Linked DNA regions of Anolis sagrei. The protein of the gene in region 4 binds, or shares a complex with, the protein of the main gene of each other region. Links are inferred from orthologs where the notes say so. Each region holds a gene or a part of one and is shown on either strand. Other genes may lie near its edges. The genes, in order: EXOSC8, EXOSC9, EXOSC6 and EXOSC2.

Region 1 (7,392 bases), on a different chromosome or scaffold from region 4:
ACTGGGGAGAGGGCAACCCTCCTGTTGCAGCAGCCCCACTGGCTACCAGTCTGTTTCCAGGTCCAGTTTATGACAATTTAAAGGTTATGACTTTAAAGCCCTAGATGGTCCAGGTCCAGGCTATTTTAGGCTGACCGCATCCACTTGTATAAACCTGCCCAGGTCCTGAGATTTTCAAGAGAGGTCCTTCTCTCAGTAACACCTCCATTTCAAGCTCGGTTGGTGGGAATGAGAGAGAGGGCCTTTCTTTTTAGTGGCTGCCCCTTGACTCTGGAATTCCCTTTCTTCCCAGGAAACCAGAATGGCCCTGTCCCATGACAGACTTTTAAAGATAAAGGTGTTTAAGATCTAGTAAGGGGATGCTGTGGTTTTCAACTTTGAATGTGTTTTAATGGATTTTAACTGTGAATGTTTTAGTGCTGTTTGTATTTAATTCTGTTTTAAAATGTATAGATTTGTATATTTTAAACTGTATACTAAGGCTTTTATATCAAGCCACTTTGAGTCCCCTTTGGGGATATAAAGCACGGAATAAATAAATAAATAATAACAGCAACAAGGCAGCATGAACCAGCCTTAGGCCCCATCTACACCAATCATTTAATGCAATGCGGCATCCACACAAAAAAACTCCCACAAATCCTATAAAAAGAAACCCTAACTGCGCATCAGTGCTTTGTAGGATCATCATCTGGGCCGCAAACCATTTCCAAGATTTTCCATGAAATTGTCTGCACAGTAAAACTACTTTTCTTCCATGCTGGTCTGAAACTTTTTAGATGTGCCTTTAATGAGAGGAACGGCACAGAGACCGAGGAGGCAAGAGTGGTGCCTGAAAGAGGCCCTTCCCCACCGCCTGCCTCTAACATGATGAAATTCTAAATTTGAAGGTGTTCCGTTTCGATAAGATTCCAGACAGAATGATAGAGTTGATAGCACTATGTAACACAATTTTTGTTCCTGGCTTTTCCTAATTCGTTCTATAATTAAAACATGGGGAAAGTTTATTGAACTGCAAAAGCCTTGCTTTTTGCAGGACATTCTGCAGCACATTCTGCTATAGATTTTCCACTGAATATCAGGTGTCAACCAATTCAACATAGTTTCCGGCAGCCACAAAACGAAGTTTCTGGAGTAGAACAACTACTTTCAAAGTACGTAGCGCACAATTAAACAGGAAAGAACACCTTCAAACCAGGAACAGATTTTTTTCAAATGTTGTTACATAGTGTATCCACATACCAAAAAAGGGAAATGCGAAAGATTGCTCAAACTTCCGTACAGTGGCCCTTATTTCTCATGCCAGTAAGGTAATGCTCAAGATCCTGTAAGGAAGACTCCAGCAATACATGGAGCGAGAGTTGCCAGATGTACAAGCTGGGTTTAGAAAAGGCAGAGGAACGAGAGACCAGATTGCCAATATCCGCTGGATAATGGAGAAAGGCAGGGAGTTTCAGAAAAACATCTACTTCTGCTTCATTGACTATTCTAAAGCCTTTGACTGTGTGGATCATAATAAATTGTGGCAAGTTCTTGGTGGGATGGGCATACCAAGCCACCTTGTCTCTCTCCTGAGGAATCTGTACAAGGACCAAGTAGCAACAGTCAGAACTGACCACGGAACAACAGACTGGTTCAAGATTGGGAAAGGTGTACGGCAAGGCTGCATACTCTCACCCAACCTTTTTAACTTGTATGCAGAACACATCATGCGATGTGCAGGGCTGGATGAATGCAAAGCTGGGGTGAAAATTGCTGGAAGAAATATTAACAACCTCAGATATGCAGATGACACCACTCTGATGGCTGAAAGCGAGGAGGACCTGAGGAGCCTTCTAATCAAGGTGAAAGAAGAAAGTGCAAAAGCTGGGTTGCAGCTAAACATAAAAAAACCCCAAGATTATGGCAACAAGAATGATTGACAACTGGAAAATAGAGGGAGAAAATGTGGAGGCCGTGACAGACTTTGTATTTCTAGGTGCAAAGATTACTGCAGATGCAGACTGTGGCCAGAAAATCAGAAGACGCTTACTTCTTGGGAGGAGAGCAATGTCCAGTCTCGATAAAATAGTAAAGAGTAGAGACATCACACTGGCAACAAAGATCCGCCTAGTCAAAGCCATGGTATTCCCTGTAGTCACCTACGGATGTGAGAGCTGGACCTTAGGGAAGGCTGAGCGAAGGAAGATCGATGCTTTTGAACTGTGGTGCTGGAGGAAAGTTCTGAGAGTGGCTTGGACTGCGAGAAGATCCAACCAGTCCATCCTCCAGGAAATAAAGCCCGGCTGCTCACTGGAAGGAAGGATACTAGGGACAAAGTTGAAGTACTTTGGCCACATCATGAGGAGACAGCAAAGCGTAGAGAAGACAATTATGTTGGGGAAAGTGGAAGGCAAAAGGAAGAGGGGCCGACCAAGGGCAAGATGGATGGATGGCATCCTTGAAGTGACTGGACTGAATTTGAAGGAGCTGGGGGTGGTGACGGCCGACAGAGAGCTCTGGCGTGGGCTGGTCCATGAGGTCACGAAGAGTCGGAGACGACTGCACGAATGAACAACAACAGTGTAATCAAACCTTAATGGCAGAGCATTCGTTGACTGGTTCGTCTATTTCCATTGGTTCTGCCCTGAACTTTTACACTGTAGCAGCGAAACAATTTGAACAATAAACAAGGAACCCTTCGGGAGTCTCTGAGCGTGTGCCACAAAGCAGGCAGTGTACGTTGACCGGGCCTCCCCCCGAGTTCAAGTCAGGGGACTCAGAACTTCCCTAACGCAGGGCCTCATTCGTCCTCAACACGGCTCTGGGCGCCGCTCCTCACCTGAACCCACCGGCCGCCGCCATTCTCCCTCACGCGCTCCTCAAAGGGCCAATGAGGACGCTCTAGGCTCCCGACCTGGGTGGGTCTGAGCGGAAGGAAGCGAGCGCGGCGCCGGAAGTGCTCCTTTTGGCGGAAGGACGGGTAACGATCGAAATCTCCGTCACGTTCCACCAACCCAGAAGCCCAAACGCGTGCTTCCGCCCTCAAAGGCCATGGCATGACCGCCCTCAAAACTCCAGAAGAGGACGACTTGGGCCCGCCAATTGCGGCGCTCCCTGTCTCCGGAAGCTAAGGCTGTAGCGGCCCTTTGCCCCGCCTTGTGGCTCTGCCCGCTTCCGCCTCCGTGTCTTTTCCTGCAAGCTGGGCGTTCTTGCCGTTTGCGGGGAGCGATGGAGCTGCTGTGGCTGGTGGAAGGACTGGCGGCGCTGGCGGGGGTCGGGCTGGTCCTGGTGAGCGTGGCAGGCTGCTGCGGGGCTCTGGGTGGGCTTTTCGGGCACCCTTCTCCGTCTCTAGGGGCTCTGAGCGAACAACCCCACGCTATCCTTTAAATAAGGTTCATAATTACAGCTGATGGTTTGGAAAGGCCATTTGAAAGAACAACCTATTCCTTGGTCGTCTTTGAAATGAGGTGCTGGGTTTGGGCCTGCCACTTTTGGACTCTCGCTTGCTGGGGTGTTCCAGCGAGTGTCTCTGTAGATCTAAGAAAACTATGTCTTGATTTAAGTCGTTGACGTGCTGGCTGATACCCAAACAGGGGATGAGCTGGAGATGTCTCTGCCTTGGTCCTTTCACTATTGGCTGCTACTTCCCGGCGGATGTCAGGTGGTGCAATACCGGCTAAGCAGTGTAATTTCTCCAGTGGTGTGGGGCACAGACACCCTGTGATAATGCAGCATGTCTAATTAAGAGCCACATCTACTGTTTTAGTGTGGTGAGATGTGTTCCACACTGGGCATGCATACTCAGCAGCAGAGTAGCATAGCGCAAGGGCAGATGTCTTCACTGTGTCTGGTTGTGATCCCCAGGTTGTGCCAGTCTGCTTTCGTATTATGTTGTTTCTAGCGCCCACGTTTTGTTTGATGTTCAGGCAGTGCTTCTTGTAGGTCAGAGCACGGTCCAAAGTGACTCCCAGGTATTTGGGTGTGTTGCAATGCTCCAGTGGGATTCCTTCCCAGGTAATCCTCAGAGCTCGGGATGCTTGTCTGTTCTTAAGGTGAAAGGCGCATGTCTGTGTTTTAGATGGATTAGGGATCAGTTGGTTTTCCCTGTAATAGGCAGTAAGAGCACCTAGAGCTTCGGAGAGCTTCTGTTCTACCATCTCAAAGCTCCCTGCTTGAGCGGTAATGGCACGATCATCAGCATAGATGAAACTCTCTGTCCCTTCTGACAGTGGCTGGTCATTTGTGTAGATGTTGAACATGGATGGAGCAAGCACGCTCCCCTGAGGCAGGCCGTTCTTCAGTTTCCGCCATCTGCTTCTCTGGCCCTGGAACTCCACAAAGAAGCTCCTGTTTTGTAGCAGGTTTCCTATGAGGCGGGTGAGGTGGTAGTCCTTTGTGATATTATGCATTTTTCTCAGGAGGAGGTGGTGGTTCACAGTATCATAGGCTGCTGACAAGTCTATGAAGACAGCTCCTGTGATCTGCTGCCTTTCAAAGCCATCTTCTATGTGCTGAGGGCCAATTTACGGTCTCTCAGACTATAGTCTGAAAAAACATGGACAAATTCCAGTGCACACTGCAGGTGTCTTATTTGTAGTGCAAAAAAAAAATCCATGAAAGAACAAGACAATATTTACAACGAAAAACAATTCTAACCATCACAAACTTACCAGTATTTCAACGGAAAGTGTGGATTTGCTTTTGGCTGATTAGAGAGTCAAGTTAATTAGGATTGTCATGTGCCTTCGAGTCGCTTCAGACTGAAGGCGGATCTCAGTCTTAAGTTTAGGGCAGGGAATGGGTGAATTACCTTGGAGGGCCTTATCTGGCCCACAGACCTTAGTCCCCTTGCTTATATGATACCCACCATGATAATCAAGATTAAAGTAAAATGACCAAAGTTGGGGCATCTTCCTCCAGAATAGAATCCTTAATGCCCATTGGCACTCTTTCAGCTAAACCACACTGCATTGGAGCCCCTGGTGGCGTAGTGGATTAAAGCCCTGTGCTGGCAGGACTGAAGACCGACAGGTTGCAGGTTCGAATCCGGGGAGAGGCGGATGAGCTCCGTCTATCAGCTCCAGCTCCTCATGCGGGGACATGAGAGAAGCCTCCCACAAGGATGATAAAACATCAAATCATCCAGGCGTCCCCTGGGCAACGTTCTTGCAGATGGCCAATTCTCTCACACCAGAAGCGACTCCGGTCGTTCCTGACACGACAACAAAAAAAACCCACACTGCATGGCAAAAGCAATGAACCAAGGGAACACTCCAGCAACCCGCTCAAGTGGAAGAGGGAGTTGGGAGGGAAATAACCCACATTCTCTGCATCTCTTAAGATGCAGGCTCTGAAACCAGATGGAGGCCATCCTGTGTGTTGCATATAAGCACTATCCAGGCCTCAACCTGGTTCGACGGCTTGCCATCAAACCATCCATACCACTTCCCCTATGTTGGTTTTGAACTAGTCAGTATAAATCACTATTTCTTAAACTGTGGGCCCTGATCCCGAATGGAATTTCCTTTGCTCAGTGTTGGGGTCATGAGAAATTTGGCAGCAGTAAAAGGTTTCTGAACACCCTGGTGTATCTTCGGGCATTTACAGTTGAAGATGTAATGTCCCTAGAAGAGAAATGATGCTTACCCCTGGAGAGGGGTACATCCTGGGAAACAAATCTTCCATAGAAGTTGGATGCTCCCCCCTCTTCATTTTTTGCTGTATGCTTTCACTCCTCTATATCTATGGATTCTGCATGCATGGAAAAGGCAAAGTATGCATGTTTATCTGTTTCTACCATTAAGGCTGTTGCTAGATAAAGTGGCCCTCTGTGATGCCACTGGTTGGGGCTGTTGCTAGGGGAAGTGGCCCTCTGTGATCTTGTTGGTTGACATGCATAAGAGAACCATGTTGTCATGGAGACATTGTAGGAGCCCCCAGTGGTGCAGTGGGTTAAACCACTGTGCTGGCAGGATAGGTCGCAGGTTCAAATCCGGGGAGAGGCAGATGAGCTCCCTCTATCAGCTTCAGCTCCTCATGCGGGGACATGAGAGAAGCCTCCCACAAGGATGATAAAAACATAAAATCATCTGGGCGTCCCCTGGGCAACGTCCTTTCAGATGGCCAATTCTCTCACACCAGAAGTGACTTGCAGTTTCTTAAGTCGCTTCTGACATGACAAAAAAAAATGGAGACATTGTGAGGTAGGCCTTCTCAGAGCTGGAGAAGGGAGACAGTATGTGGGGAGCAGTCCTAACAACACCCAGGTAATGCCAGGTATACTTGATTTTGCCATTTTTATAAGGGGTACCATTGTATTAGGCCCTTGGGACTTGAGCATCTACAGATTTTTGTATCCACAGGGGAGTCTGGAAACCAAAGTGCCCACTGTACTTAATAACACTGTTCAACGGAGAAAAAGTTGCGGGCCTGAAAATAGTTGTTCTTTTATGATTTTGGGGTGCTGAAAACGAAAATGACATTTAAAAATGTATATTGGCTCTAGTTTTTATGATATAAGCAATCACGTGATCACGTATGGTTGAAAAAAATGCATGTTGCGACTTACACTATGGACGATTCTAGAAAGTTGCGGGCCTGAAAATAGCTGTTCTTTTATGATTTTGGGGTCCTGAAAACAAAAATGACATTTAAAAATGTATATTGGCTCTAGTTTTTATGATATAAGCAATCACGTGATCATGTATGTTTGAAAAAATGCATGTTGCGACTTACACTATGGAAGATTCTAGAAAGTTGCGGGCCTGAAAATAGCTGTTCTTTTATGATTTTGGGGTCCTGAAAACGAAAATGACATTTAAAAATGTATATTGGCTCTAGTTTTTATGATATAAGCAATCACGTGATCATGTATGTTTGAAAAAATGCATGTTGCGACTTACACTATGGAAGATTCTAAAATACTCTAGAAAGTTTGATGACGCAGTATTAGTGCCATGTACAAAAGCCAGAAAGCCCTATTTAAGGCCAGACTTTTGAACGGTGAGGGTCAGTCAGTTGAAGACTGAGACAGTATCGTTAAACATCGTTTTACATTGTTCTTTTTACTGTAGTTATGCCTCACACGTGTGTAAATAAAGCACTATGGGGAAAAGATATCAAGGCAAATGGACTCCGTCAATGCTGTCAGACTACTGCTGGAGCATTGTAAGAAACAATCCTTTCCTTGAATACAAAAGAAAAGTCAAGAGAAGCAAACAGGATATAAACTAAAGTCACGATTAAAGCAACATTTAAACTTTCAGACTTTTCAACTGCATTAGGCCTACTAATATAGTGTCTTGCTGCACAAACATAAACAATAGACTAATTAAATAAATATTTCTCATGTATAAACTATTGGCAATATAATTTGACTAAAATTTAGTAAATATTCACGGTTTATATACA
Region 2 (7,325 bases), on a different chromosome or scaffold from region 4:
CTGCTGATATCACTCTATGATGAAACCACAACTCAGCTTAGAATACAAACAGTACTTAGGTATTCGATGGTTTAAATAATGTTTTATAATTTTATTCTATTTTCAACCATCTTTATTTTATCGATAAAAAATACAAAGATGGAAGAAAAAAGAGACCCATTTAATCAAAGGGGATGATAGATATGTCTCCGAATTCCACATGGATTCAAATGGAAACAAGCAATATGGTTAAGTCAAATAACTTAATTTTTAGAGTTATTAAAATATATTTTTATAATTAATGCTACTACACACCTTTTCACCAGCAACAACACAGAGAGATTCAGTATCTATACACTTCGAATTCCTTAGGCATCTTTCTAACAGTCGATTCAGTTTTACAAGTAACTCAGGCTGTCTAGAATTAAAAAATAAACCTTTAGTTACAAATAATTAAGAAAGACAAAACATTTCTTGAGGAAGCACTGAATGTTATTACTAGGGAGAAGTAGGGTCACATACCTTCCAGGCTCAAATGCAGGTGATGCCATAGGAGAGAGTTCAAGATTAAAGAAAAGTATGCCCTCCGTCGCACGATTTGGCTTTGGGGTGACAAGCTCACAGGACACTTGTCCAAGAATCCTACAAAGAGAAAAGCCACCACATAGGCGAACTTTAAGAGTAAAATTTCAACTGATTGCTTACATGTTTAAAATAACAAGGCGTTCTAAAATTCACATTGTCTTATTCAGAGTTGACATTAACTTGATACAATTAATTGCCAGAAGACATACAATGATATTATGCATATGATTCCCTGTATAGTAATAGAAAATGCAGATGTGGAACACTGAATGTTTACCATTTTGTGATACGTGTTTTAACACTGTTTTTGGAAGCTGTTTTGGATCTTACTCTGGAAGAAAGGTGGAGTATAAATACAGGGCCCTTCTACACAGCCATATAACCCAAAATATCAAGGTAGAAAATCCCACAATATCTGCTTTGAGCTGGATTATCTGAGACCACACTGCCATATATTCGACAATGTGGGATTTTATTCAGCTATATGGAAGGGGCCTGAGTCAGATGTTCTAAGTCCGTCAGTGTTGTCTGCATTCTCCAGGTTCCAGGCAGAGGTTTTGTTACCTAAAAATGCTGAAAACTTCATCATGCAAATTTTGTGCTCTTAGTAAGTTATGGTCCTTTGCACATAATCCTTTCATGTACACTTTTCATTTCCACATTGTAGTTATCAAGACAGTAACTTGGTCATTTGTCTCAGTTAAGGACAAACGAAGGCATCAACTGAAGGCAGATAGCCACATGTGCAACAAGGTAGGAGCAATCAATAAGTGATGGCCATATCCCCTATTCTGAGGTACCTCGTTTTTCCAAGCTCCACAATACAGCAGCCATAGTCAGAGCCAAAGGAGATGCGAAGATTTCTGTAGTCATAGCACTCTCGTCCATCAAGACGCTGTAAAGACAAAACAAGCTAAAATTACAGATGTGAAATATGGGACTGTGGAAAAAGTCAACTAGAATCATAGCATTGAATGAGAATTCATGGGCTATCCAGTCCAACCCCTGGCCAAGAAGCAGGAAAATCACATTCAAAACACTAAATTATATGTACACAGTGAAACCCACTCTTACAGTCCTGAACTCTAGGTTTGCCAACTGTGAAGAGTTTGCATGCCTAAATCCACTTATATGGTACAGAGGTAATTATTTTCCTTATTTCGGCATTTCCATAACTCATCTTCAGGGGCTGACTTTCCCCTCTAGAGCAGCAATTAATAACACTGAAATCCTACAAAGCAGGAAAGAAGATTATAGATGAATCTGACACACTGGGTGTCTTTCACACTACACAGTTAGTGTACTTTGATACTACTTTAACTTCCAAAAACGGATCCTACAGAATTTGGGTACTTTGGTACAGTAAACCACTTTGAGTCCCCCTTGGGGTAAGAAAAACAGTATACAAATACTGTAAATAAATAAATAAGTAAATAAAGCTCTCTAGCAGAGAATTCAAAGAACCCTTCCCTAAATGCAAACCGAAAGATTCCACAGGAAGGCACCATGGCAGCTAAAGAGGTATCAAAATTCTATAATATTTAGTATAAAGAAGACCAGAGTGTCGCATCAGTGAAGTTAACAATAATAATAATAATAATAATAATTCATTTGTTGCCCATCTCTCCTCACAACTCAAGGTGGGGGTATAAAACAGCCAAAACACATTTACCAAAATACATTAATATAACAATTAAATATATCAATAGAATGCAAACTTGAAATGCAGAGTTCAAAATTAATTGGTTGTCAGGGAAGCTGTATGCCCATGTTCAAGAAGCATTCTCTCCTGACATTTCACCCACAACTATGGCAGACATCCTCAGAGGTTGAGGGGTCTGTTGAAAACCAGAGTTTATATCTCTGTGGAATGTCCAGGGCGGGAGAAAGAACTCTTGTCTGTTTGAGGCAAGTATGAATGCTGCAATTGATCACCTTGCTTAGCACTGAATAGCCTTGCAGCTTCAAGGCTTGGCTGCTTCCTGCCTGGGGGGAATCCTTTGTTGGGAGGTTGATTAGCCGGCCCTGATTGTTTATTGTCTGGAATTCCCCTGGAATGACTTCTAGCATTCAGGGCTGGAGAGTGGATTTTAATACTGACTCCTGAAAAGTACAGAATCAGGTTGATCTCTTTTGTCCTCAAACCTTGCTTCGACATTTCAGTTTCCTAATATGTGGCTGGAGATGCATCTACACTGCAGAATTAACACAGTTTGAGGCCATTAATCCGGAGAGCCGTCGTTTTACAAGCCCTTTAGCCTCGTCTGCTCAATTGTGCTGTCGTCTCACCAAACTACAACTCCCGGGATTGAGCCAAAGTGGCATGAAACCGCATTAACTCTACAGTGCAGATCCATCAGACCCATGACTACAATCTCTTCTTCTCTCTCTCGCTAACGCACCTTCCGCTCCTCGATGGCTTTCAGCAGGAAGCGCTTCTCGCAGTTGGACAACGGCGTTTCCTTCATCGCAAGGCCGGAGTGTTACTGCCGCCTTGATTTGAGGCCGCGCTGCTCTTTTCCGGGTTCCGCTCTGATGACGTCATAGAGCGGGCGCACTTTAAAAGCGTCGCTTCCAAAGCATAGCTTCCTCGGCCAATAGGAAGGAACGTTACGTCATCGGGGAGGGGAGGGGGAGGAGGAAGGATCTCTCCTATTCTTGCCTATGTTCTATCTTTGGTGAACTTGGAATTCAAGGGAGAGAGACTTTGGCATCACTGTCACTGTCAACTATTGCTTGGTGCCAATCATTACTACTAAACTGAAACTTATTACTGCTACATGTAATGAACAGGCCATCTTTGTGTTGCTGCTGCTATATTGCACCCCAGGCCTGTGCAAACTTGGCCTCAGGAAGGGGCCTGAGGCTGTTAGGAATGGTGGGAATTGAAGTCCAAAACACCTGGAAGGCCCAAGTTTGCCCAGGCCTGTTGTATCCTTTCTAATTTTATGCTTCTATGTGTTTGATTATATTATGTAATGTTTGTTTGTAGGATTAACGTAACTCAAAAACCACTGGACAAATTGACACCAAATCTGGACACAATACACCTATCAGTTCAACAAGTGTCCATCACTCATAAAAAACACAGCAGAAGGGACTTAAAAAGCTAAAAAAACCATCCGAAAAACATTACAACGCATGTGCAAAACTACATAGGTTAAGGTAAAGGTTGTCCCCTGACATTAGATAGGTAAAGGTAAAAGTTTTCTCCTGACATTAAGCTCAGTCATGTCTGACTCTGGGGTGTGGTGCTCATCTCTATTTCTAAGCCGAAGAGCTAGCGTTGTCCATAGACACCTCCAAGGTCATGTGGCCGGCACAACTGCATCGAACGCCGTTACCTTCCCGCCGGAGCGGTACCTATTGATCTACTCACATTTGCATGTTTTCAAATTGCTAGGTTGGCAGAAGTTAGGGCTGACAGCAGAAGCTCGCGCCGCTCCCCGGAATCGAACCTGCAACCTTTTAGTCAACAAGCTCAGCAGCTCAGTGCTTTAACCCACTGTGCCACCGGGGGCAAAACCACATATATATACGCAAACACACACATATATATATGTGTGTATATACATATATATACACACAAAGCATATACAGACAGACTGGGCCACAGCAACACATGGCAGGGGACAGCTAATGTCCCAAATGCACTTTACTAGACATTTAAGATAGTCTGCACACCGCACCAATCTCCAAAAACCTATTCATTTCACCTGCCATGTCCAACATTTTTTAAAATTTTTAATCATTACATTTGGCCCGGCCTTAGTTTTAAATGCGTCATGGTGTTATTGTCTAATGTTTATTGCTATTGTTTTAATGTTTATTGCTTGTTTTATGAGTTTATTTATTGTTGTATTTGTTATGCTGTTGTTTTATTAATGTGTTGGGCCTCGGCCTCTTGTAAGCCGCACCAAGTCCTTCGGGAGATGTTAGCCAGGTATAAATAAAGGTTTATTATTATTATTACAACTTATCATATAGTACAATACAGGGTTAGTCAAAATGAATAGGCCAAACATACATACAATTAATTTTCTTATTGGCCTATTCATTTTGACTAACCCTGTATATTATATACTACTAGTAGTATAATATTCTGGTAGTGTGTTAAATATATTGTGATATACTAATATTGTAAATATAATAATATAATAATGATATATTACATGTAAAGCTACTAATAATATTGCAGTATAGTGGTATAGTACAATATAGTAATATTGAATACTTATATTGTGCAATGCTAAGAATATAATACAACAGAGTCTCACTTATCCAACCTTCACTCATCCAGTGTTCTGTATTATACAACGCAGTCTGCCTCCCGCCAGGATCCACTGCTGCTTCAATACATTGCAATGTTCTGGTGCTAAATTTGTAAATACATTAATTACGACCTAATGCTACTATGTATTGAACTGCCTTTTCTGTCCATTTCTTGTTTATTTACTATATTTATACCCTGCTCTTCTCAGCCCCAAAGGGGACTCGGAGCGGCTTACAGATTATGGCAAAATTCAATGCCACATTATACAACAAATAATAAATATAACATATTAAATTATAAAACAAAACATATAAATGCAATAAGACAGATTAAAACATGGTTTTAATGGAGCAGGTGTTCCATCAGGGGAGGAATGAGACTCCAAACCGGGGTGGCAGTGTTCACTTGAGAGGGGGTCCAGCTGAATCAAGGGCTACAGCTAGAAGAAACAAATGTCGGTATCTCTGTGCAGACCCATGGATGCTGAAATGCAAGCCAGTCAAGACAGAGTCCAGTAGGACCAAATGGTCCCCAGAGGCTGAGTGAGAAGCTGAGCCAAAGGCAGCAAGGGAAACAAACACTGCCCCTTCCCTCAAAGCCCCTGGTGATGGTACCTTCACTTCTTGCTTAGGCCTGAGGCCCTGCAGGCGTGGTCCTTTTTATTACTGTAATGCAAGGAGGTAACTTGCAAATATGATATAAAATTAAAAGGTGGGGCAAAAAAAAAAAGATTCTAAATAGTCCTTACTATTTCATTCTCAGAAAAGTCTGTATCATTCAAATAGCTTCTAGGGCTGCATTTGGCAAATCTGTTTGCATTTTCTGAAAAGCCTGCACTAAACCCATCAAAGTCCACTTTTTGAGGCATTTAAACATTTATTTAATATGGTAATCCAAGGATGTTGAGTTGCCTTTCTCACCAAGTTTACTATTCATCTATGATTGCATCCCGTTCCCTTTGGAAATCAGAGAGAGAACATCTCACGGTGTTTAGTCGTAAACGGATTGTGCTTTAACTCTGATTGACATGTTAATGAATTTCTGTCTGCTCTCTAAATCTCAGAGGCTACATTTTGCACAATAATCACTCACTGTATATACCTTATGAATGGAAAGGATGAAGCTGACTCTTCTCGCTTGTTTATTTAATATATACATAGCTGCACAGCTACATAGTCTTTCGGCAGTGTTACTTGAGAGAGATCCCATAGACAAAATCAGAGTGTGACCTAAATATTCTTAGGCTGCAGCTCCCATCATCCCTCCCCATTGGTTTGGCTGGCAAAGACTGAGGAAGGAGCAGACCTCACAATCTCTGAGAATGCTTGCCATAGATGCAGGCGACATGTCAGGAAAGAATGCTTCTGGAACATGGCCATACAACCTGAAAAACTTACAGCAACCCAGTCCAAAAACATTTATAGGGTTGCCTATTTTAGTGTTGCCAAGTTTCCAAAATACCAATAAAGGAAGTTGAAATTCACGACAATTAAGAAACAGCCACCTAAATGAGTTGTGGGCCCTTTCCACACAGCTGAATAAAATCCCACATTTTCTGCTTTGACCTGGAATTTATGGCCATGTGGACTCGGATAACCCAGTTCAAAGCAGATACTGTGGGATTTTCTGCCTTGATGACTGGGATTTATGGCTGTGTGGAAGGGCCCTTTGATCTTGTAGTGAGATGTCCATAATTGATTTATTTCTGTACAAAGAACAACATGTTTTTGAACACCTAGTAATCAAAATAATGGCTTTGTTTTAAACATTTTAACTCCCATGTTTGTTGTTGTTTATTTGTTCAGTCGCTTCCAACTCGTCATGACCTCATGGACTAGTCCACGCCAGAGCTCCCTGTCGGCCGTCACCACCCCCAGCTCCTTCAGAGTCAAGCCAGTCACTTCAAGGATACCATCCATCCATCTTGCCCTTGGTCAGCCCCTCTTCCTTTTTCCTTCCTTTCCCCCCAGCATCATTGTCTTCTCTAAGCTTTCCTGTCTTCTCATGATGTGGCCAAAGTACTTCTTTGCTTCTAATATCCTTCCCTCCAATGAGCAGTCAGGCTTTATTTCCTGAAATATGGACTAGTTTGATCTTCTTGTGGTCCAAGGCATTCTCAGAATTTTCCTCCAACACCACAGTTAAAAAGCATCTATCTTCCTTCCCTCAGCCATCCTTATGGTCCAGCTCTCACATTCGTCGATTACTACGGGGAATACCATTGCTTTAATTATGCAGATCTTCGTTGCCAGTGTGATGTCTTTACTCTTCGCTATTTTATTGAGATTGGTCATTGCTCTCCTCCCAAGAAGTAAACATCTTCTGATTTGCACCTAGAAATACAAAGTTTGTCACTGCCTCCATGTTTTCTCCCTCTATTTGCCAGTTATCAATCAGTCCGGTTGCCAGAATCTTGGGGGGGGGGGGGGGGGTATGTTTAACAGCAACCCAGCTTTTGCACTTCCTTCTCTCACCTTAGTTAGAAAGT
Region 3 (7,770 bases), on a different chromosome or scaffold from region 4:
GTTGGGGATGGTGGGAGTTGGAGTCCAAAACACCTGGAAGGAAGGCCTAAGTTTACCCAAACCTGATGTAGAGGCAGAATGGGCCTGAGGCTGTTGGGGATGGTGGGAGTTGGAGTCCAAAACACCCAGAGGGAGGGCCAGAGTTGGCCTAAACCTGATCTAGAGGCAGAATGGGCCTGAGGCTGTTGGGGATGGTGGGAGTTGGAGTCCAAAACACCCAGAGGGAGGGCCAGAGTTGGCCTAAACCTGATGTAGAGGCAGAATGGGCCTGAGGCTGTTGGGGATGGTGGGAGTTGGAGTCCAAAACACCCAGAGGGAGGGCCAGAGTTGGCCTAAACCTGATGTAGAGGCAGAATGGGCCTGAGGCTGTTGGGGATGGTGGGAGTTGGAGTCCAAAACACCCAGAGGGAGGGCCAGAGTTGGCCTAAACCTGATGTAGAGGCAGAATGGGCCTGAGGCTGTTGGGGATGGTGGGAGTTGGAGTCCAAAACACCTGGAAGGAAGGCCTAAGTTTACCCAAATCTGATCTAGAGGCAGAATGGGCCTGAGGCTGTTGGGGATGGTGGGAGTTGGAGTCCAAAACACCCAGAGGGAGGGCCAGAGTTGGCCTAAACCTGATCTAGAGGCAGAATGGGCCTGAGGCTGTTGGGGATGGTGGGAGTTGGAGTCCAAAACACCCAGAGGGAGGGCCAGAGTTGGCCTAAACCTGATCTAGAGGCAGAATGGGCCTGAGGCTGTTGGGGATGGTGGGAGTTGGAGTCCAAAACACCTGGAAGGAAGGCCTAAGTTTACCCAAACCTGATGTAGAGGCAGAATGGGCCTGAGGCTGTTGGGGATGGTGGGAGTTGGAGTCCAAAACACCCAGAGGGAGGGCCAGAGTTGGCCTAAACCTGATCTAGAGGCAGAATGGGCCTGAGGCTGTTGGGGATGGTGGGAGTTGGAGTCCAAAACACCCAGAGGGAGGGCCAGAGTTGGCCTAAACCTGATGTAGAGGCAGAATGGGCCTGAGGCTGTTGGGGATGGTGGGAGTTGGAGTCCAAAACACCCAGAGGGAGGGCCAGAGTTGGCCTAAACCTGATGTAGAGGCAGAATGGGCCTGAGGCTGTTGGGGATGGTGGGAGTTGGAGTCCAAAACACCCAGAGGGAGGGCCAGAGTTGGCCTAAACCTGATGTAGAGGCAGAATGGGCCTGAGGCTGTTGGGGATGGTGGGAGTTGGAGTCCAAAACACCCAGAGGGAGGGCCAGAGTTGGCCTAAACCTGATGTAGAGGCAGAATGGGCCTGAGGCTGTTGGGGATGGTGGGAGTTGGAGTCCAAAACACCTGGAAGGAAGGCCTAAGTTTACCCAAATCTGATCTAGAGGCAGAATGGGCCTGAGGCTGTTGAGGATGGTGGGAGTTGGAGTCCAAAACACCCAGAGGGAGGGCCAGAGTTGGCCTAAACCTGATCTAGAGGCAGAATGGGCCTGAGGCTGTTGGGGATGGTGGGAGTTGGAGTCCAAAACACCCAGAGGGAGGGCCAGAGTTGGCCTAAACCTGATCTAGAGGCAGAATGGGCCTGAGGCTGTTGGGGATGGTGGGAGTTGGAGTCCAAAACACCCAGAGGGAGGGCCAGAGTTGGCCTAAACCTGATGTAGAGGCAGAATGGGCCTGAGGCTGTTGGGGATGGTGGGAGTTGGAGTCCAAAACACCCAGAGGGAGGGCCAGAGTTGGCCTAAACCTGATCTAGAGGCAGAATGGGCCTGAGGCTGTTGGGGATGGTGGGAGTTGGAGTCCAAAACACCCAGAGGGAGGGCCAGAGTTGGCCTAAACCTGATCTAGAGGCAGAATGGGCCTGAGGCTGTTGGGGATGGTGGGAGTTGGAGTCCAAAACACCCAGAGGGAGGGCCAGAGTTGGCCTAAACCTGATCTAGAGGCAGAATGGGCCTGAGGCTGTTAGGGATGGTGGGAGTTGGAGTCCAAAACACCTGGAAGGAAGGCCAAAGTTTACCCAAACCTGATGTAGAGGCAGAATGCTGGCAGTTGGATGCCAGAGTATCTCAGGCCCCTTCCCCGCAGTCCCTAGTCCCAGATTATATATTAATTCCAGACTAAGTGGGCAGGGCCTGAGGCTGTCCATACCTGAGTGGGGCTGGGTCTCATGTGATGGGGTGGGGCGCCCCTTCCTCTTCCTCTGGGGTCTTGTGGGGGGGCGGGGGGTCCCCCTTGGGCGTGAGGGCGCGGAGGAGGCTCTTCCTGAGGAGCGGGTAGAGGCGGTGGCATCCGTCGAGTCCGAGGCGCAGGGCCCGTGCCCAGCTGTCCGGGGGGCCGCCTTCCCCGCTGCCCAGGAGGCCGGCCACTTGGTTGAGGGAGGGCAGGAGGGCCACGGTGAGGTGGGCGCGGGCGCGGCGGGTCTCGGCCTCGTCGGGCTGGAGCAGCCACTCTCCCCCTGCTGTTCCGGGGGCGAGGGCGAGGGCGCAGGCGGCGGGCAGGTCGAAGAGCTCGACGCCGGCGTGGGCCAGGGCGAGCCCGGAGGCGCAGAGGGCGGCGGCCAGCACGGAGCCCCCGTCCTGCAGCACCAGCGCGCTGACCTCCAGCTGGGCGCGCGGGTAGCGGGAGAGGCGGGCGGCGGCCGAGAGGGACTCCGTCAGCGCCTGCGCCAGGCACGGGTCGCGCTCCGATGACCACCGACGACGGGGCCCGCGGGAAGAGAAGGGCGCGCGCCGGAACTCGCACACCAGCCGGCCCCCCGACTCGCTCCCCGCTCCTCCTCCTCCTGCGGGGGCCTCTCGGGGCCCGTACACGCCGCACAGCACCTTCGTCCCGCCAGACAGCTCCACGAAGGCCGAGCCCTTGGCCTGGCTCAGCACCGCCGCCCGCGCGAACACCGCCTGCAGCGCGGAAGGGTCCCGCCCCGGCTTTTCAGGCTTCTTCTCCGCCTCCTCCGCCCCCTCGGCCACGAAGAGCAGCGAGGACTGAGACTCCTCCGGGCCCGGCACGCGGCGGTGGTCCAGCGGCATGGCAACACTCCCCTCACCGTCGCAGCCTCACAACAGGAAGCGGAAGGAGAAGCGGCGCCCACTGCGCCTGCGTAATCGCTCCCTCTCTCTCTCTGTCTCGCGCCCCCTGCTGGCCTGGAGGAGGAGGAGCAGGCTGCTCAAAGGACCACTCTCCTCTGAGCGCGCTCTCTCTCTCTCTCGCCCCCTGCTGGCCTGGAGGAGGAGAAGCAGGCTGTTCCTCTATTGATCTCTGCTCAGAAGAAACCCATTCTCACAAGGGGAAGCGGAAGAGGAAGCGGCGCCCACTGCGCCCTCTCTCTCTCTCTCGCCCCCTGCTGGCCTGGAGGAGAAGGAGCAGGCTGCTCAGAGGAGCACTCTCTCCTCTGAGCGCTCTCTCTCTATCTCGCGCCCCCTGCTGGCCTGGAGGAGAAGAAGCAGGCTGCTCCTCTTTATTGATCTCTGGTCAGAAGAAGCTCATTCTCACAAGGGGAAGCGGAACAGGAAGCGGCGCACACTGCTCCTGCGCCCTCTCTCTCTCTCTCTCGCCCCCTGCTGGCCAGGAGGAGGAGGAGCAGGCTGCTCAGAGGAGCACTCTCTCTCCTCTGAGCGCTCTCTCGGGGAAGCGGAAGAGGAAGCGGCTCCCACTGCGCCTGCGCCCAGGCTCCCTCTCTCTCTGTCTCGCGCCCCCTGCTGGCCTGGAGGAGGAGGAGCAGGCTGTTCCTCTTTATTGATCTCTGGTCAGAAGAAACCCATTCTCACAAGGGGAAGCGGAAAAGGAAGCTGCGCCTGCGCCCTCGCTCCCTCTCTCTCTCGCGCCCCCTGCTGGCCTGGAGGAGGAGCACGCTACTCAGAGGAGCACTCTCTCCTCTGAGCGCTCTCTCTCTCTTGCCCCCTGCTGGCCTGGAGGAGGAGGAGCAGGCTGCTCCTCTTTATTGATCTCTTGTCAGAAGAAACCCATTGAGCAAGCATGGGCAAACTTGGACTCCAGGTGTTTTGGACTTCAACTCCCACAATTCCTAACAGCCGGTAGGCTGTTAGGAATTGTGGGAGTTGAAGTCCAAAACACCTGGAGGGCCCAAGTTTGCCCACACCTGCCATTGAGAATAGACATACAATTCATAGAATCCTAGAATTGGAAGAGACCTCCTGGGCCATCATCATCCAGTCCAACCCCATTCTGCCAAGAAGCAGGAAAAATGCATTTAAGCACCCCCGACAGATGGCCATCCAGCCTCTGTTTAAAAGCTTCCAAGGAAGGAGCCTCCACCACACTCCGGGGCAGTGAGTTCCACTGCTGAACGGCTCTCACAGTCAGAAAGTTCTTCCTCATGTTCAGATGGAATCTCCTCTCTTGGAGTTTGAAGCCATTGTTTCGTGTCCTAGTCTCCAGGGAAGCAGAAAACAAGCTTGCTCCCTCCTCCTCCCTGTGGCTTCCTTATACATGGCTATCATATCCCCTCTCAGCCTTCTCTTCTTCAGGCTAAACATGCCCAGTTCCCTAAGCCGCTCCTCATAGGGCTTGTTCTCCAGACCCTTGATCATTTTAGTCGCCCTCCTCTGGACACATTCCAGCTTGTCAATATCTCTCTTGAATTGTGGTGCCCAGAATTGGACACAATATTCCAGGTAAAGTGGTCTAACCAAAGCGGAATAGAGCATGGGGAGCATGACTTCCCTGGATCTAGACACTAGGAGAGAGAGTGAGTTCAAGGAGTGGCAGCAACCAATAGTGAAATGACCAAGGCAGTGACATCTCCAGCTCACCCCGTTTGAGTATCAGCCAGCATGCCAACGACTTAAAGCAAGAAATAGTTTTCTAATATCTATAGAGACACTCGCTGGAACACCTCAGCAAACGAGACCCCAAAAGTGGCAGGCTCAAACCCTGATAGTTTAAGAGGCCCTGCTCTCGGTCCCACCAACGTCACAAACAAAGCTGGTGGGGACGAGGGACAGAGCCTTATCAGTAGTGGCCCCCGCCTGTGGAATTCACTCCCCAGCAAAATTAGATCACTGAAGACATCTGCCTTGCGCTGTGCTCCTCTGCTGCTGAGTATGCATGTCCAGTGTGGAACACATCTCACCATACTAAAACAGTGGATGTGGCTCTTAATGAGACATGTCACATTATCATGGGGTATCTGCGCCCCTCACCACTGGAGAAATTACACTGCTTAGCCGGTATTGCACCACCTGACATCCGCCGGGAAGTGGCAGCCAATAGTGAAAGGACCAAGGAAGTGACATCTCCAGCTCATCCCCTGTTTGGGTATCAGCCAGCACGTCAACGCCTTAAATTACGAAATAGTTTTCTAAGATCTACAGAGACACTCGCTGGAACACCTCAGCAAGCGAGAGTCCAAAAGTGGCAGGCTCAAACCCAGAACCTCAACCAATGGCTGATACCCAATGAGAGACTCCCCCTGGGCACATTTGGCCCAGCCATAGTTTTTAAAGTGTGTTGTCCTATTTGATAATGCTTATGTTATTGTTTTGCTGTTTTAAACTGCTTGTATTGTTGTTGTTATTGCTTGTATTGTTGTATTTTGGGCTCGGCCTCATGTAAGCCGCACCGAGTCCCCTGGGGAGATGGTAGCGGGGTATAAATAAAGTGTTATTATTATTATATGTTCTAGAGCAGTGGTTCTCAACCTTCCTAATGCCGCGACCCCTTAATACAGGTCCTCATGTTCTGGTGACCCCCAACCATAATATTTTCGTTGCTACTTCACAACTGTAATTTTGCTACTGTTATGAATGGTAATCTAAATATCTGATATGCAGGATGTATTTTCAGTCACTGAACCAAATTTGGCACAAATACCTGATATCCCCAAATTTGAATATTGGTGGGGTTGGGGGGTGATTGATTTTGTCATTTGGTAATGGTGGAGTTGCTGGGATTTATAGTTCACCTAAAATCAAAGAGCCTTCTGAACTCCACCAGTGATGGAATTGAATCAAACTGGGCACACAGAATTCCCATGACCAAGAGAAAATACTGGGAAGGTCTGGTGGACATTGACCTTGAGTTTTTTGGAGTTGTAGTTCACCTACATCCGGAGAACACTGTGGACTCAAGCAATGATGGATCTGGATCAAACTTGGCACAAATACTCAATATGCCCAAATGTGAATACTGCTGGAGTTTGGAGAAAATAGGAGTTGTAATTGTTGTGATTTATAGTTCACCCGCAATAAAATAGCATTCTGAACCCCACCAATAGAATTGGACCAAACTTTCCACAGAACCCCCATGACCAACAGAAAATACTATGTTTTCTCATGGTCTTTGGCGACCCCTCATGACCCCCATGGGGGTCCCGACCCCCAGGTTGAGAAACACTGTTCTAGAGGCATTCTCTCCTGATGTTTCGCCTGCATCTATGGCAAGCATCCTCAGAGGTTGTGAGAAGCCATTCTTAAGCACAACGTGCCATTGTTGACACATCAAGTTGCAATTAAAAATAGCAACACATGCAAACTACTCTTCTTGGCTGTGCAGAAAGGAAAGGAAATGACTGTGGCTGGGGCAAACTTTTGTTGAGAAGGCTTTCATGGCCGGAATCACTGGGTTGTTGTAGGTTTTTGTGGGTTGTAGGCTTGAGCATATCACACTGCAGCATGGTTATATGTAATGTGCCCATGTGCCCATTGCTTTTGTTTCTACAGCAAGACACTCACTTAAATAGACATCTGTTTATTCAGCATGGAACCTGGTGAAGCACAGCTCCTCGTGCCAGAACACGCCTGGCTTGGGCTTGGCTACAACAGAGGTTAATACTATGAATGAAGGAGGGGCTTTCACAGTTACAGAGATAAGGGATGAAATGACCGAAGTGTTGAGCCTTGGCCCCGCGCATGCAAAACGCCCCAAGCGCTTGAGCACGGACAGAGAATTCGTGGGCCATGTCTTATTGCAAACTGTACAAAGACATTCAAGTTTAGAGCGTCAGGAAGTATGTGACTTGTATGTGCAAGGAGATTTTTACCACATTTCGATTCGAACTTGTGCCGCCACAGGCTCCCACGTTCTGTGCTCAGGGCATTTCCTGGCACGGCCGCCTGGCTTGGTTAGTGCCTGAGCGGATGAGCTGAGAAGGACAACAATGCACGTAACGTTGTTTCCAGTTATCACTAAGCTGTTAACCTACTGGCGGAGCAGACAAGGGCTTCCTTGCCTGGATCTCTTCCCTGAAGGGGGGGGGGGGTCAGTTCTTCAGCTCGCCCAGTTTCAGCTTGGCAAAGTCCGTGGCCACCTCCAGGACCTCCTTCAGGCAGTCAGTGTTCTTCCCGGTCGCCTGAGCCGAGAGGTCCTTCCCGCCCCCCTTGCCATCCATCAGGACCGACACCTGCTGCACCCATTCGCTAGCTTTCAGGCCTTTGTTGACAACGTCCTGCGAAAGACAGGAAAACAGCAAGTTAGATGGGTTGCTGTAGGTTTTTTTCGGGCTATATGGCCATGTTCTAGAGGCATTTTCTCCTGACATTTCGCCTGCATCTATGGCAAGCATCCTCAGAGGTAGTGAGGTCTGTTGGAACGAGGCAAAAGGGTTTATATATCTGTGGAATGACCAGGGTGGGACAAAGGACTCTTGTCTGCTGGAGCTAGGTGTGAATGTTTCAACTGACCACCTTGATTAGCATTTGATGGTCTGACCGTGCCTGGTGCAACCTTTTATTGAGGTGATTAGCTGTCCTTGTTTGTTTAGTGAGGTCGGTTGGAACTAGGAAAATGGGTTTATATATCTGTGGAAAAACCAGGGTGGGACAAAGGTCTCTTGTCTGCTGGAG
Region 4 (7,239 bases):
ATTAGGAGGAACTTTGATGGCGAGGAGAGCTGTTTCACATGAGAATCTCCTTCTTTGGAAGTTTTATATACCAAGGCGAGATGGCCATCTGTCAGGAGGGATTTAGATGTGTCTTCCTGCCTGGTAGAAAAGGGTTGGACTGGATGACCTCTGGGAGGGTCCCAATTCCCCCTTGATGATTCCATGAACCAATGTTTCTCACCCTGGGTGCTTTCCTCCTGGAGATGCCTGACTATATCTCCCATCAGTCAGGTGGGAGATTCCCATTGCACGGGAGATGTAGTGCAGGTCCTATCTCAGGCATGGGTAAACTTGGACCTTCCAGGAGTTTTGAACTACAATGCCCACCATTCCTAACAGCCTTTCCCCCTCAGCTGCTTAAGCATTATAACAATATATCTATTGGGACCTGAAGGTAGGCCTCTCCTAGATCTATCACTCTTATCATCTACCTGAAAATAGGCATCTCTTAGATCTATCACTCTATCACTACCTGAAGGTAGGCATCTCTTAGATCTATGATTCTATCATCTAGCTTAAGCAGTTGAGCGGGAAAAGGAAAGGGCCTGAGGCTGTTAGGAATGGTGGGAGTTGAAGTTCAAAACACCTGGAGGGAAGGCCAAACTTGGCCCATGCCTAATCTATCTCTTTTCATGGCACCCTTCAAAGCAAATTAAATTGAATGCAAACAGATGGAACGATAGCGACAATATCCATTCGTATCAGGATCGGATGTACAGATGCATCGCGGACAGCTTCCAGAGAATGATGGTCACTTTATATACGTATGTAATAATAATAATTAGAGTCATAATAATGACAACACTTCCTGTGTTTACAGAGCTTTGTTATTCTATGAGATTGTATTGGCAAACCGTTCTTTGTACCTCTCTTTACCCTCTTGGACTCCAAATACTGTAATTAATTAATAAATATATATATTTACCTGCAAATTATTGCCCTGGGGCTTGAGACCTGGGTTCAAATCCCTGCTCGGCCATGCAAGTTGCACTCTCTTGGCCTCAAGGGAAGGCAGTGCCCTCCTTTGTCATTGCCAAAGGAGAGGCTGTGTGGTTATCCACCTGGAGGTTTTTTGTGGTGTCTCCCTTCCTGGAAAAATTGGGGTTGACTTGGATGACCTTTACAGGGGGGGGGGGGTCATTTCTGTGGCATAATGTAAAATGAACCATGTAAAGTTCACGTTTGATCAGCCCACACACTGCCTTGCCAGAGAAAGAAAATATGCCACGCAAGTGAACAGTAAAGAACAAGTAGTTTACTGTATTGTTGAAGGCTTTCATGGCTGGGATCACTGGGTTGTTGTAGGTTTTTCAGACTATATGGCAAATGTTCTAGAAGCATTCTCTCCTGACATTTCACCTGCATCTATGGCAAGCATCCTCAGAGGTTGTAAGGTCTCACCATAGATGCAGGCGAAACGTCAGGAGAGAATGCTTCTAGAACATGGCCATATAGCCCGAAAAACCTACAACAACCGAGTAGTTTACTCTTTGTAGTTCAGAACAACATATGTACAATGTTATCAGTTGCATCAACTCACATAACGTCCTTTTATGAGAGATTTAAAGTGGTCTTACTCTGTCCATGTGGAGAAACCTTCCTTAGCAGCTCGCGAAGCAAGAGCACACTCCAAACTGTCTTCTCTCTGCTTCTCTCTTCTTCCCTCTCTGCACTTGCATAGCTCAAGCCTAAACAAAAACGTAACAGTTTCCGAAAGTCCCAGGCTCAGCCTGCTTCCCAATCAGCTTCATGCATCATATTTTACAGTTGTCACACACACACACATGAACTGATTCCTTGCATACTCCAACAGTTTCTACCTTTATGATTCCATAATAGGTTTGCTTAGATGGAAATTAAATAGAATAATTTAATTAATTAATAAAATAATTAAATAATTAATTAAATAAATAAATTTATTCAAATTAAACTAACTAAATAAATTAAATAATTATATAAATGGGAATAAATTAAATAGAATAATTTATTAAATAATTTATTTAATTAATAATTTATTTAATTTAATAATTTATTTATTTACATTAAATTAAGTAGATGTAATAAGGATGCCTTTTATTCCATTTATAAATCATTGATAAAGATATCAAAGCCCAAAAATATAAACTTGTGAAGGGTTTGGTCAGTGGAGGAATTACATTCGGTAATAACGCAATTGAAACAGCACTACCTAGCCCATCATCCCCCAGCACGAATGCAAGAAGATGGCAGAGAAATGTCGACAACATCAACTTTCATAAGGTGCACCAACACTTTCATGGGATGCATCTACACTGTGGAATTGATGCAGTTTAGCACCGCTTTCATTTGCTATGGCATCCTGGGAGTTGTTGTGTTGCAAGTAGAGAATGATGGGATGCCAAGATTGAAGCTTCCATAGGGGGAAATGAGATGGAATAATCAACTCAGTCTCCTGCAACTCCAGCAATGGACACTTGAGGGCAGCAAAGGATTGCAGTTGGAAACCAAAGGGTTATTGCAAGTCTGCTCAATGGATTAAGGCTTGCAATAAGGATTGGCCATAGAAGGTCATTATGCATATGCAAATGCGAAAAAAAATAATCAGAGAAGAGTATCCAAAATAATTACTTATATATAGCATGGTCTTTGCAATAACAAAAACAATATGTATCTATAGAAGGAAGGAGGAATTCCCAAAGAATAACGTTGCTGTGAGTTTTCCGGGCTGTCGGGCCATGTTCCAGTAGCATTCTCTCCTGACGTTTCGCTCACATCTATGGCAGAGGTGGTGAGGTCTGTTGGAAACTAGGAAGATTGGGTTTATATACCTGTAGGATGATGTTCCGGGTGGGAGAAAGAACTCTTGTCTGCTTGAGGCAAGTGTGAATGTTGCAATTGGCCACTTTGATTAGCACTGAATGGCCTTGCAGCTTCAAAGCCTGGCTTCTTCCTGCCTGGGGGGAATCCTTGGAGGTTGTGAGGTCTGTTGGGAACGAGGAATTAATCAGGGGCCCTGATTAATTCTTGTCTGGAATTCAAGGTAATACCTCCCAACAAAGGATTTCCTCCAGGCAGGAAGCAGCCAGGCCTTGAAGCTGCAAGGCCACCCAATGCTAATCAAGGTGGCCAATGGCAACATTCACACCTGCTTCCAACAGACAAGAGTTAATAATAATAATAATAATAATAATAATAATTTAAAATAGATCATCTGGATAAAAAGGAAATGTTTAAGAAAGCATGCCAATATAATGCACATGTCATATATTATTTGTAAAATAATAATTCAAATATAGAATTGCATAATAATAATAATAAGTCGCCGATTTAGGCTGAAAAATGCGGTATAAAAATAAAGCAAATAAATAAATAAATAAATAATAATAATAATAATAATAATACATTTATTATGAATAAATTTGAAATAGATAATCTGGATAAAAAGGAAATATTTTTAAAAAGCATACCAATATAATATGTATGTCATATATTATATTATATATAAAATAATAATCCAAATATAGAATTGCAAAATAATAATAATAATAATAATAATACATTTATTATGAATAAATTTGAAATAAATAATCTAGATAAAAAGGAAGTTTTTTTTAAAAGCACGCCAATATAATGTGCATGCCATATAATATATTTTATATATTTTATATTATATATTTTATGTTATGCACATGTCATATTATATATATATAATATATATATATATAATGCGCATGTCATATATTTTATTTTATATATTTTATATTATATATAAAACAATAATCCAAATATAGAATTGCATATTTAATAATAATAATAATAATAATAATGCATTTGTTGTGAATCAATTTGAAATAAATCATCTGGATAGAAAGGAAATGTATAAAAAACACTCCAATATAATATATACAAGTAATATATTACATTATATAATAAATTTTATTTTATTTACTCATTTTATTTTATTTATATAATATATTTATATATGAAATCCTCCTTGCCCAACAGTCATGAATTTGGGAGTGTGGGTCTCACTCACCATCCTAGGCGTGCAATACGGGCAGGGACCGCCAGAGGGCGCCGAAGGGAGAGCCTTCCATAGAGTCCCGAGGCCTCTCCAGGCGGGACCGGAAGTCGAAGCCTTACCGGAAGCTTGGGTGCCCTCATCCAAGATGGCGGCGGCGGTGGAAGTGCGGCTGCCGGTGGCTCGGAAGCGCCTGGCGAAAGGCGACGGGGAAAGGGACTTGGTGGCCCCCGGAGACACCATCACCACCGACCCGGGATACATGAGGTGAGGAGGAGGAGGAGGGGGACTGCAACTCCCATCACTCCCAGGAAGGGCATAATGGGAGCTTCATCATCTCAGTGTTGTGTCTGGAAGAGGGCTACAAGTGATGCTTTTGGGAACCTCTGTTGACTGAGTGATGGGAGATGTAGTTCATTGTGTTTGGGGGGCAACAGAGGGGATAATGGGAGCTTCAGCTCAGTGTCGTGTCTAGAAGAGGGCTACAAGTGATACTTTTGGGAATCTGTATTGACTGAGTGATGGGATATGTAGTCCACTGTCTTTGAGAGTCTATAGAGGAGACAATGGGAACTTCAGCTCAGTGTCGTGTTCGGAAGAGGGCTATAAGTGATACTTTTGGGAGCTTCTGCTGACTGAGTGATGGGAGCTGTAGTCCACTGTGATTGGGGGGGAGATATAATGGGAACTTCAGTTCAGTGTGGTGTCTGGGAGAGGGATATAAGTGATACTTTGGGGAACCTCTGTTGATGGAGTGATGGGAGATGTAGTCTACTGTGTTTTGGAGAGATGATGGGAACTGCAGGTCAGTGTTGTGTTGGGAAGAGGGCTATAAGTGATACTTTTGGTAACTTCTGTTAACTGAGTGATGGGAGATGTAGTCCACTGTGTTTGGGGGGCCATAGAGGGGGAAATGGGAGCTTCAGTTCAGTGTCGTGACTAGAAGAGGGCTATAAGTGATACTTTTGGGAGCTTCTGCTGACTGAGTGATGGGAGATGTAGTCCACTGTCTTTGGGAGGCTATAGAGGGGATAATGGGAACTTCAGCTCACTAAGTCAATGATGGGAGATGTAGAGGATCCGTGTTAAGGAAGGAATGTCGTCAGGTGACTGTGGGAAGGAAGGAGATCATGGGAGCTTCAGTGTATTGGATGATGGGTGATGCAGTCTGCCATATGAAGTCTGCCATTATCAAAGTGACAGAATGGCCTTTTTCCATGGGTTCAATTTAATTCATTCTCCAAAAATATTATCTCTAAATATATCTATATATATATATATACCTAAAATACATGTAAATGTATATCTATATATCTAAATATATCTAATTATATCTGTTTATACCCCTTACCTCAAACAAAGTCTGCTCAAAATATGAGCATAAGGTGTATTATTAATATTATTATATTAATGAGAACTTTAAATCGTAGCCAGTGACGTATATTCTTTTATGTCCCTAAGGGGCCACGGGACGTATTTGGGGGACGAGAAGCTGATTGCCTCGGTGGCCGGCCTGGTGGAGCGGGTGAATAAGCTGGTCTGTGTCAAAGCCCTGAAAACCAGGTGAGCTCAGCCTATTGTGGTTATTATAATGACTATATTAATATTATTGTTGCCTATATTAACTAGTATTATAATAACTACTAGTTAATATAGGCAACAATAATATTAATATAGTCATTATATTGACTATATTAATATTATTGCGAGATACCTCTACAGCTGTGTTTATTTTGTTATGTGAATTTAATACAATCACAGAATCAAAGAGTTTGAGTCTATGCTCTGCTTAAAAACACCCAGAGAAGGAGTCACAAGGGCAATCTATTCCCTTGTGATCTACTCACATTTGCATGTTTTCAAACTGCTACGTTGGCAGAAGCTGGGGCTAACAGCGGGAGCTCACCCCGCTCCCTGGATTCAAACCTGTGACCTTTCAGTTAGCAAGTTTGGCAGGTCAGGAATTTAATCCACTGTAAGGAGGGGCAGATAATGAATTATTATTATTATTGTCGAAGGCTTTCATGGCCGGAATCACTGGGTTGTTGTAGGTTTTTTCGGGCTATATGGCCATGGTCTAGAGGCATTCTCTCCTGACGTTTCACTTGCATCTATGGCAAGCATCCTCAGAGGTAGTGAGGTGAGGATGCTTGCCATAGATGCATGCAAAACGTCAGGAGAGAATGCCTCTAGACCATGGCCATATAGCCCGAAAAAACCTACAACAACCTATTATTATTATTATTATTATTATTATTACTATTCTTCTACTACTACTACTAAAGGGGTCTTACAGGCTGCAATTCTTTTGCCAGGTGAGTGAAATGCAACCCACTTTCATTAGACATCCAGGAAGTTCCAGAAAATAGATTTTTTAAAAAAATAACATCTATTTAATATGCATTGCATTCTGTCACCATACATATTAAATAAGGAATATTGGGGTGGCTGTCTCAAATATTGTGGACCTCATATCACTGTCTAAGAAAACGACAATGCTGCAAATAAGAGTGACGAGCTGCAAGGAGGCAAGGTAATAAATTTATGATGTGATGATTAATTATTTTGTTCTGTTCTTCAGGTATAACGGTGAAGTCGGAGACATTGTGGTAGGGCGCATCACTGAGGTAAACAAGCCAAACTTCTGGCTTTTGCATCTTGAATACATCCAAAGCTTTCCTTAGGTAAAAGTTTCCCCTTGACATTAAGTCAAGTCAAGTCCGATTCTGGGGGAGGTGCTCATCTCAGTTCCTAAACCAAAGAGCCAGCGTTATCCATAGACACCTCCAAGGTCATGGGGCCACTGATAGAACTGCAAGGAGCGCTTTTACCTTCCTGCCAAAGCAGTGCCTATTGATCTACTCACATTTGCATGTTTTTGAACTGCTAGGTTGGCAGAAGCTAGAGCTAACGACGGGAGTTCACCCCATCTCACGTATTCAAACTGCCAACTGTCCAGTCAGAAAGTTCTGCAGCTTAGCGGTTTAACGCATTGCACCACCGCAGCCCTTTCCTTAACGTTATCATTATTATTATTATTATTATTTTCCTTAACATTGTTATTATTATTTATATCCCACTTTCTTTCACTATAAAAGAAACACCAATTATTATTGTTATTTTCCTTAACATTATTATTATTATTATTATTATTATTATTATTATTAGCTTTATTTGTACCCTGCAAAATCTCCCGAAGGACTCGATGTGGCTTACAA

Evidence for each region.
Region 1: EXOSC2 (region 4) and EXOSC8 share a complex: the UniProt entries of both Homo sapiens proteins name them as parts of the RNA exosome core complex. The link is inferred for Anolis sagrei from reciprocal best matches to the Homo sapiens genes EXOSC2 and EXOSC8.
Region 2: EXOSC2 (region 4) and EXOSC9 share a complex: the UniProt entries of both Homo sapiens proteins name them as parts of the RNA exosome core complex. The link is inferred for Anolis sagrei from reciprocal best matches to the Homo sapiens genes EXOSC2 and EXOSC9.
Region 3: EXOSC2 (region 4) and EXOSC6 share a complex: the UniProt entries of both Homo sapiens proteins name them as parts of the RNA exosome core complex. The link is inferred for Anolis sagrei from reciprocal best matches to the Homo sapiens genes EXOSC2 and EXOSC6.

Annotation. Positions count from the first base shown.
Region 1 is NC_090022.1:166,884,816-166,892,207, reverse strand, and holds the start of EXOSC8 (exosome complex component RRP43), read right to left. Parts: upstream 3,056-7,392; 5' UTR 3,041-3,055; coding exon 2,822-3,040; intron 1-2,821. Other genes in the region: ALG5 (dolichyl-phosphate beta-glucosyltransferase), read left to right, coding at 3,211-3,270. UniProt on the Homo sapiens protein: Non-catalytic component of the RNA exosome complex which has 3'->5' exoribonuclease activity and participates in a multitude of cellular RNA processing and degradation events.
Region 2 is NC_090025.1:36,467,608-36,474,932, reverse strand, and holds the start of EXOSC9 (exosome complex component RRP45), read right to left. Parts: upstream 3,110-7,325; 5' UTR 3,033-3,109; coding exon 2,967-3,032; intron 1,460-2,966; coding exon 1,365-1,459; intron 622-1,364; coding exon 502-621; intron 398-501; coding exon 295-397; intron 1-294. UniProt on the Homo sapiens protein: Non-catalytic component of the RNA exosome complex which has 3'->5' exoribonuclease activity and participates in a multitude of cellular RNA processing and degradation events.
Region 3 is NC_090028.1:43,418,761-43,426,530, forward strand, and holds the start of EXOSC6 (exosome complex component MTR3), read right to left. Parts: upstream 3,052-7,770; 5' UTR 2,998-3,051; coding exon 2,137-2,997; 3' UTR 2,120-2,136; intron 1-2,119. Other genes in the region: AARS1 (alanine--tRNA ligase, cytoplasmic), read right to left, coding at 7,188-7,373. UniProt on the Homo sapiens protein: Non-catalytic component of the RNA exosome complex which has 3'->5' exoribonuclease activity and participates in a multitude of cellular RNA processing and degradation events.
Region 4 is NC_090031.1:2,833,399-2,840,637, reverse strand, and holds the start of EXOSC2 (exosome complex component RRP4), read left to right. Parts: upstream 1-4,138; 5' UTR 4,139-4,169; coding exon 4,170-4,288; intron 4,289-5,482; coding exon 5,483-5,584; intron 5,585-6,602; coding exon 6,603-6,648; intron 6,649-7,239. UniProt on the Homo sapiens protein: Non-catalytic component of the RNA exosome complex which has 3'->5' exoribonuclease activity and participates in a multitude of cellular RNA processing and degradation events.